2 linked regions of the Mus musculus genome follow. The protein of the gene in region 2 purifies or fractionates together with the protein of the main gene of each other region. This does not show direct contact. Links are inferred from orthologs where the notes say so. Each region holds a gene or a part of one and is shown on either strand. Other genes may lie near its edges.

Evidence for each region.
Region 1: the proteins of Dcaf11 (region 2) and Cops5 purify together in Homo sapiens (affinity purification with mass spectrometry; 6 studies listed by BioGRID and IntAct, with this or other methods). This does not show direct contact. The link is inferred for Mus musculus from reciprocal best matches to the Homo sapiens genes DCAF11 and COPS5.

The regions. Positions count from the first base shown.
Region 1 is NC_000067.6:10,028,113-10,031,928, reverse strand, and holds part of Cops5 (COP9 signalosome complex subunit 5), read left to right. Parts: intron 1-1,218; coding exon 1,219-1,330; intron 1,331-3,816. UniProt on the Homo sapiens protein: Probable protease subunit of the COP9 signalosome complex (CSN), a complex involved in various cellular and developmental processes.
Region 2 is NC_000080.6:55,558,741-55,563,020, forward strand, and holds the start of Dcaf11 (DDB1- and CUL4-associated factor 11), read left to right. Parts: upstream 1-1,288; 5' UTR 1,289-1,381; intron 1,382-1,700; exon of another isoform or gene 1,701-2,469; 5' UTR 2,470-2,547; coding exon 2,548-2,702; intron 2,703-4,151; coding exon 4,152-4,279; intron 4,280-4,280. UniProt on the Homo sapiens protein: May function as a substrate receptor for CUL4-DDB1 E3 ubiquitin-protein ligase complex.

The sequences.
Region 1 (3,816 bases), on a different chromosome or scaffold from region 2:
TTCCAAGCTGGCCCACTATCTAGGGACTAAGTATTCAAACGTGTGAACCTATGGGGCCATTCTAATTCAAACTACTACATCTGGTGGCCAACCTCCGAGGTCTTCACAGTAGGATCTTTGATGTGCTAAGTAGTTAGACCTAGATAGAAGTAGAATACTGATGTTTTGTTTTGTTTTGTTTGTCCTTGTAGTGAGTCCAGGCTTTGAACCAAGAACCTTGTGTGTGCTGTAGCACCCCATTGCTAATCTACATCCCCCCACCTTCTGAGGTTTGGTTTTAGTTTTTTGAGACAGGGTCTCTCTAGCCCTGGAGTTCACTCTGGAGACCATACTGGCCTATAACTCCCAGAGATCTGTCTGCCTTTGCCTCCTGAGCTCTAGAGTTAAAGGGGCGTCACCACACCCACATCCTACCTATTGTTGTCTTAGACAGGTTTTCATATAGCAAGGCTGCTCTTGAACTGATTTTTCTACCTCCTGAGTGCTGCCTGGTGAAGCTCCTTATTTATGGTCGTAGCTTTATTAATACTCGGGTTACATGGAATGAACTTGTAGCACAGTCAGGCCTTCATGCATAATAACGATGTGTTCCAACAGAATTCTGTATGAACAAAATCACTAACAAAGTAGAAGCATGATTTCTTCAGTGTCAGAGTTGTAAAGCCTCGCGCTGCATTAACCCTTCACTGCTAAAGCTGACCTCCACCTCATGCATTCCTTCTTGAATGTCTGTTTTGTGTATGATAATAAATAGTGAGGTTTGTGTAATAACTATAGCATTTTTTAAAAGCTTTTTTTTTATCTTTATCTGTATGTATGTGGGCTCATTTACCATGGTCAGAAGAAAATAAGCAGGAGTCAGTTCCTTTCTTTCGCTGGGCAGTGGTGACACACGTCTTTAATCCCAGCACTTAGGAGGCGGAGGCAGGCCGATTTCTGAGTTCGAGGCCAGCCTGGTCTACAAAGTGACTTTCAGGACAGCCAGGACTACACAGAGAAACCCTGTCTCAAAAAAAAAAAAAAAAAAAAGTATATAAAACAAGAAAGGCTAGTAGACAGATTTAGAGCCATACCACTTGAAGAAAAAAGAAAAATTATATTTAGCTATTGTTCAACTATATGACTATAAAATATAATTTTGCTTTGGTGTAGAGAAAACTTCTATCCAATATAACTGCATTTTTTTTCACCTGCCAAATGTGTGCTCTTGTTTTATAGATATTATGCCTTAGAAGTCTCATATTTCAAATCATCTTTGGATCGTAAACTACTTGAGCTTTTGTGGAATAAATACTGGGTGAATACCCTGAGTTCCTCTAGCTTGCTTACTGTAAGTACTGGACTTGTTTCATTTGAATTTTGTTTTACTCTGAAGCCCAAGTTGACACATGGTTAACTCAAACATATGAAGGCCAAAGGCCAACCCAGAAGTGTCAGTTCTCTTCTTGTATGTAGGCCCGTGATCAAACTCAGGTTGTCAGGCTTCGCAGCAAGCTCCTTCACACACTGAGCCATCTTACTGGCCCATGACTTCAGGGCCTTGAGTGTTGGGATCACAGGCAAGTGCTATTATACCTGATTAATTTCACTTGTAGCCAAGCTACAAAAACTGTTTGTTATTTGAAACTTCATTTCACAGAATGGCATAATCTCAAGGCTGGAGCAGGGTTCTGTCCCAAACTAGATGAGGATGCTAGGCAATCCAAATGGGGGAAGATATGCTTGTGCCTTAAAGAGGTTCATAGAGGAAGAAACAAAAATACTGTTTTTGTTGCCTCAGGTAACAGGTAGGTCTCTGACACATAATATGCGACCCTCACAGGAATCACATTTCAGATATTTACATTACAATTCATAACAATAGCAAAATTACAGTTATGAATTAGCAGCTATGTAATTCATGAGTGGAAGTTACCCCAACATGAAGACCTGTATTAAAGGCTCACAGTATCAGTAGAAAGAGGTCCTGAAAGAAATCTGAAGATCATTACAAATCCCAGACAAAGAAAAACATTAACTCAATAGCTCCCAATACATCATTAAAATCTAATATTGTGATTCTTCCTATTATTAATGGATATATATTTAATAGTTATACATTTAGAACTTAGCAGTTTTATTGTTTTTACTTTCTGATAAAAAAAAAAGTCTACTTCATGTAACACAGTATAATTCAAAAGAAACGGGGTTTGAAAACAAATCTGAGACTACTACTAGTCCTTGGTGACCTTCAGAGCATAGTTTGTCACCTCTGCTCCAGAATAGTTTGTTACACAGCCAGGGATGACCCTGAAATTTTGTCTCTACCCTCTGAGTGCTAGGATTGTCCGCATGTGCCATCACATCCAGCTGTAGTGGCTGGGCCTTTCTGTGGTGTAAAATGGTGGCAGTGGCACTCGGTGTATCACTACGTACACTGCAACTGAGAAAACACCTGCCTTGATGATTGCTAGTGTTTTGTTTGGGGCATTATATTCTTAGAAAGACTCCCTTGAGTATTTTTATTAATGTCTTAAACATAACTTTGACATGGTTTGTGTTCTACTTAGTAGAAGTAGCAGCATTAAAAAGAGCAAGTTGAGCACGTGTCTGTAATGCTAGTCTTTGGGACTTGGAAGGTTTTGTCAAGGTAGTTCCAGGTCTTCCTTAGCACACAATAAGCTTGAGGCCAGCCTGAGCCACATGGGACCTTCTTGTTTTAAACAAAAATAAAGGAGGAGAGCAATCATAATAACAAATATTATGTATCCTGTGTGCCAAGCACTGCGAAGTGTATGTTGCCTTAGAGACAAGTATATTTGCAGTCAGAAGTGATACCTGGTGGCAAGAAAAGGGGACGCTAGGACAACAGCAGGAGAGAGGCAGGCAGAGGACCTACTTTGTCCTGTGACTGTCCTGTTCCAGCATTGTAATATGAGGACGGTTAGTTGGTGGGGCAAGTCTCAAGTGCCTTCAAGGCCTGAGCTCCGTCACCAGCCTGAGACAAGGCCTTGCCTCATGTATAGCCGTGACTGGCCCAGAAGTCACACTATAGCTGAGACTGCCTTGATTACACTTACAGCTGCTAGAGCTTTAAATCTACAGACAGACAGATGGCTTAGTGAGGTAAGGCACTCACCACAGAGTTCGGTGAATCGACTCCTGCAGATTTTCCTCTGACTACATGTATGCTGTGGCACATGCATACACACAAACACAAAGAGAGGATAAATAAATGCAATTTAAAAAAATGTTTAAGGAAAAAAATTTTAGGGGTGGTAGTAGCAGCACAGGCCTTTAATCCCAGCATTGGAGAGAAAGAGGCAGGCTGATCTCTGAATTCTCGGCCAGCCTAGTCTATAGATCAAGTTCCCAGACATCCAAGGCTACACAGAAAAACCCTGTGTCAAAAAAGCCAAAAGAAATGTTTAAGATAACAACTTGTCTTCCTGTGCCTGCATTTCAAAGATTATAGGCATGTACCACCCGCACATAGTTGGGGTTTTTTAGACTAAAAAAAAATAATAATACAAAACCTTATTAAAATATTACAATTAGCAAGGCATAGGGGTATACACTCGTAATCTATTATAGCTACTTAGTGAGTTAGAGCCTCAGCTATTTAATACTTTGTCTCAAAACAAATAAGAATAAATGACACCTGGGGATTCAATTTGGTAGTAGAATGTGCTTGTACAGACTGTAGATGCAAACCGCAGCACACCCACACTTGACACATGTAGGGCGATAGGCTGTTAAATGTATGGATCAAACCTTTAATATTTTTCAATTTGTAAAATATCTAATATATGTGATATTAAAGAAAAGTGTGTTCAT
Region 2 (4,280 bases):
CGTCAGATCTCATTACAGATGGTTGTGAGCCTCCATGTGGTTGCTGGGATTTGAACTCAGGACCTTCAGCAGAGCAGTCGGTGCTCTTAACCACTGAGCCATCTCTCCAGCCCTCGGTTATTTTTATTTTATGAAGAACTGCAGCAACATTGGGTTTTTGTTGTTGTTTGGTGTGTATGTGTGTGTGTGTGTGTGTGTTCAATGTATACACTGAACCCAGTATATACAGAATGCCAAGCAAGCACTCTCCCATAGAGACATATTCCTAACCCACTAAAAAATTCATTTCAGTGGCTACCAGGTATTTTTATAACTGTACAAAACTGACCATAATTTATTTAACCAACCTCTTATTGTATATTTGGATTTCTTTTATTTCCAGTATCCCACTATTATCAGTGATTGTTAAGCAGAACATACATTTTTATGTAGGTCCAAGTTTGATTACAGATAGCAGTATCACTAGGTCACAGTTTAGGGCTATGAGGGCTGGCTAGGACTGGTTAAAAAGATAAAGCATCTCTCAGATTAGACATTCTGAAAGGGTGTACCAGTAGAAATAAGGCACTTCTAGGCACATTTGATTGGCAGACAAAATTTTCGAATGAAGTAAAAAGACAATCAGGTTGGGAAGTCTGTATTTGAAGTAATAAAAAAACGAAAAAACAGTCAGCTCTTAAGAACGAAATACTTTTAAGAGTAGACTTGAGCAGATCAAGGAGTGGAAGAAGTCTGAAATGTGGAAAAACAGCCACTGTGAAAATAACCTCAAGTAATCAGTTAAAAAATATCTACAGAACTTGTAAGAACTAGAAGAGTAATAAGGAAGGAAAAATACTAAAATTATTACAGACTTTCCAGGCCAAATAACCCAAATACCTAGGAATCCTGAAAGTTCCGTGTATGTTTGAAATACCTGTCCACATAATTAATGGAGACCAGCCAAAGAACAAAATGCTGGGCGCTTGTTTACAGTTAAGAATTTTAAGGCAGTGACAACCTGCGTGGATCGGGAGAAAATGTTGGGGTCTCCGGCCTAGAGACCAGGAAACCTGACACAGAACCTGTCACATGCTCGCCCCGGGAGCTGAGGTGTCCTCGCGATGGCCCACCTCTGGGCCAAGGCCGACATCGCCCGCCTCTCTGGCCTAGGAAACCATCCCAGACAAGGTAGGGTTGGCCTTGGACTCACCCTAGTTACTCATAAACCAACGGGAGGTGGCGAGCGACAGAAGCCTAGGGACGGTCGGCAAAGCCCAGACCCAAGGGGCGCGTGCGCACTAAGGCAACCGGAAAGGCTCCGGGGACGGCCGCGGCACTTAGGGAGCGTATGCAAAGACCAAGAAAGGAAGCCAGGGGTCGTCAGACAAGACCCCCGCTGGTAAGCGTGTACACAGCAGGGTGGAGAGGCCCAGGTCCCACCAGTGAGGACTGCTTTCGACAGGCCGCTAGCGCTACAGCCAGGGGAAAACGGTTGAACTGGGGTTGCTGGGAGCTGAGGGAATAGGAGCGATTGGGCACGCAGTAAAAAACAAACAAACAAACAAACCACTCGAGGCCAAGCGACCTTAAGGGACCACCTCGCAGACTTGATGTCTAGTTCCGCTACGTCTAATGCAGGTCGCAGCCAATTCCAGTCCGCTACGACTAAACGCCCCTCTTGGGTTGAGCAAGTTCCCCAGCCCACCTATCAATCACAGGTCTCAGCTATCCAATCAGAGGGCCGAGGGGGAGGGACTGCTTGGAGCGTCGAGTGACGTCAGCAGGCCTGGCCGCCAGAAGCGTGACGGACGAGGCTCGCGACTGAGGAGCTGTTAGCCGGCGCCGCAGCGATAGTCGCTGTAAACAGGGCCTCGCCCCTGCGGGTCCTGCGACAGCTCCTGGCTGGTGGGTGGTCTCGCGTGGGGCGGTAACCGCCAGACGCCGGGGGGAGGTGCTTCTCCATTTTCCCTCCCCCTGTTGTACACACCCCCGGCGCACCACGTGGGCGTGAAGCTAAACTGGAGGGGGTGTTAGGCTGACTTCTAACCTCATTGGCTGTTGATGCTGCCGGCCCGTGCAAGAAATTGCTCTGATTGGTCAGTAGAGGGAGGCGTGGGGGGGGTCTGAGTTCTAACGCCTCTGGTTGGTTGTGTGAGATAAGCTAGTGAAATGCGTTCTTCCGCAAGGGGTTTTGATTGGTCAGTCGGAGAGGTTATCTGGGATTCAGCCATCCCGGGCCGGGGACTTTGATAGGTGAGTTTGGTTAGGAAAATGGGAAATTCCTCTTCGTGGACTCTGATTAGTACGGTAGGGTTGCACCCTAGGTTTCATATGGCTTTCTTTGCTTCACAGGATTGAGAAAGGTTTATGTTCCCGATACCCTGGGAGCTGTCATAGCTAAAGAGAAGGAAATCTCAGTCTCCTGGAGGGGTCACCCCTCTAAAGATAGCTTCTGCCCCGTTTCTGGAAACCCTGGTATTTCTACAGCAGGCTTTGCTTTCACCAAACCCAAGTTGGAGACAGGAGCAGCCCCTGCGCAAGACATAAGGATGCTGTAACCAGAAGATGGGATCACGGAACAGCAGCAGCGCCGGATCCGGGTCCTTAGAACCCTCTGAGGGCTTGTCCCGAAGAGGGACTGGCCTGCGTCGTAGTGAGGAAGAGGAAGAAGAGGATGAAGATGTGGATCTGGCCCAGGTACTGGCCTATCTCCTCCGCAGGTAACTTACCCTCTGCTGTGACACTAAGTGTCACAATGTCTTGACCTCAACTTCAGGCAGGAAAAGTGCAGAGGATAGGGAATGGCATTGTCCCAGGACAATGGTTGTGTTTGAACAGAACGACCTTTCCCTGCTGGATGTCCATACACTCTGCGTGGCTCCCTACCCAAAATGGTTCTTACAACTCTCATAGTTGAGGAGCTCCTAAGGGAAGCCTTTTCAGCTGTGACAACACAAATGTCATCAGTTTTCCAAGAAAATAAAACGAGAGAAGGGAGAGGGATTATGGAGGAAAGGAGAGATGTGAAAAGAGTTGGGAAGGGGGTGCTAAGTCACTTGCCATGTGAGATGAAGCCATGTGGATTTACTTGAAAAACAAGTTTACATCGGCCTTACTAGCCCTGCTCTTAAGAAAAGAATGCCCTCAAGGGGGTGACCACCAGGAACTAAGAACGTTTTGTTTGCTTGCCTACGGTTCCTTGGGAAAAGATGAACCTAGTATCCCTGCAGACCCTGTGTTCTGTGTTGCGTTCCTACACCGACGGCTGTGAGGGTTGTTGTTGTTGTCAGCTGGACAGAGTCTGAAATCACCTGGGGGACACGGCACACCTGGGCGGGATGGATTATTTAGCCTCTCTGGGCAGGCCTGGAAGGGATTATGGCGATTGGGTTCATTGGAGCAGGAAGACCCACTCTGAGCGTGGGTGGTGCCATTCCCATGTGGGTCCTAGACTGTATAAAAAGGAGAAAGCTAGCTAAACCCAACCATTCATCCCGCCTTCTTCCTGACTATGAGTGCTGTGTTACCAGCTGTTCCTGGCCCTGCTACTTTGATGGCCCCGCTATGACAGACTCTGCCCTTGAGCCATGAACCAGAATATACCTTCTCTCACTTAAGGTGCCTTTGTTGGGGTATAGAAGGAAAAGTGGAAGTGCTCTCCTAATTCTTAGCTCTTGAATTCAGGATATAGCTTTGTGGTAGAAGCTTACCCAGCATGCACTGAGCCCCTGGGTTCAGTCCTTAGCCCTGGGGGAAAATTATATTTAGCCCTGAGAGAAATCAATTTAGTAGGTCAGTCTTCATAACCTGTTAGAACTCTGTGTTCTTACTCTTAAGAGTTAAAGCTGGTTTCCTGCTGTGTCTTTTTTGTGTGTTTGGGGTTGGTTGGTTTGTTTATTTTATTTTTGAGTCAGAGTTTCTCTGTGTAGCCCTGGCTGCTCTGGAACTCACTCTGTAGACCTGGCTGGCCTTGAACTCACAGAGATCCACCTGCCCCTGCCTCCCAAGCGCTGGGATTAAAGGCATGCGCCACCACTGCCTGGCCCTACTATGACTTGTAGGAGACTTAAAATCCAATTTCAAAAGGAGAACCAACTGACTAAGAGCCAGATAGCCATTGGTTAGATGGGAGAAGGAATCCCTCCTTTATAATGGGGATCTCTCCGCAGAGGCCAAGTGAGACTGGTGCAAGGAAGAGGTGCAGCAAATTTACAGCTCATCCAGGCCCTCTCGGACTCAGAGGAAGAGCATGACAGTGCCTGGGATGGTCGCCTTGGAGATCGATATAACCCACCCGG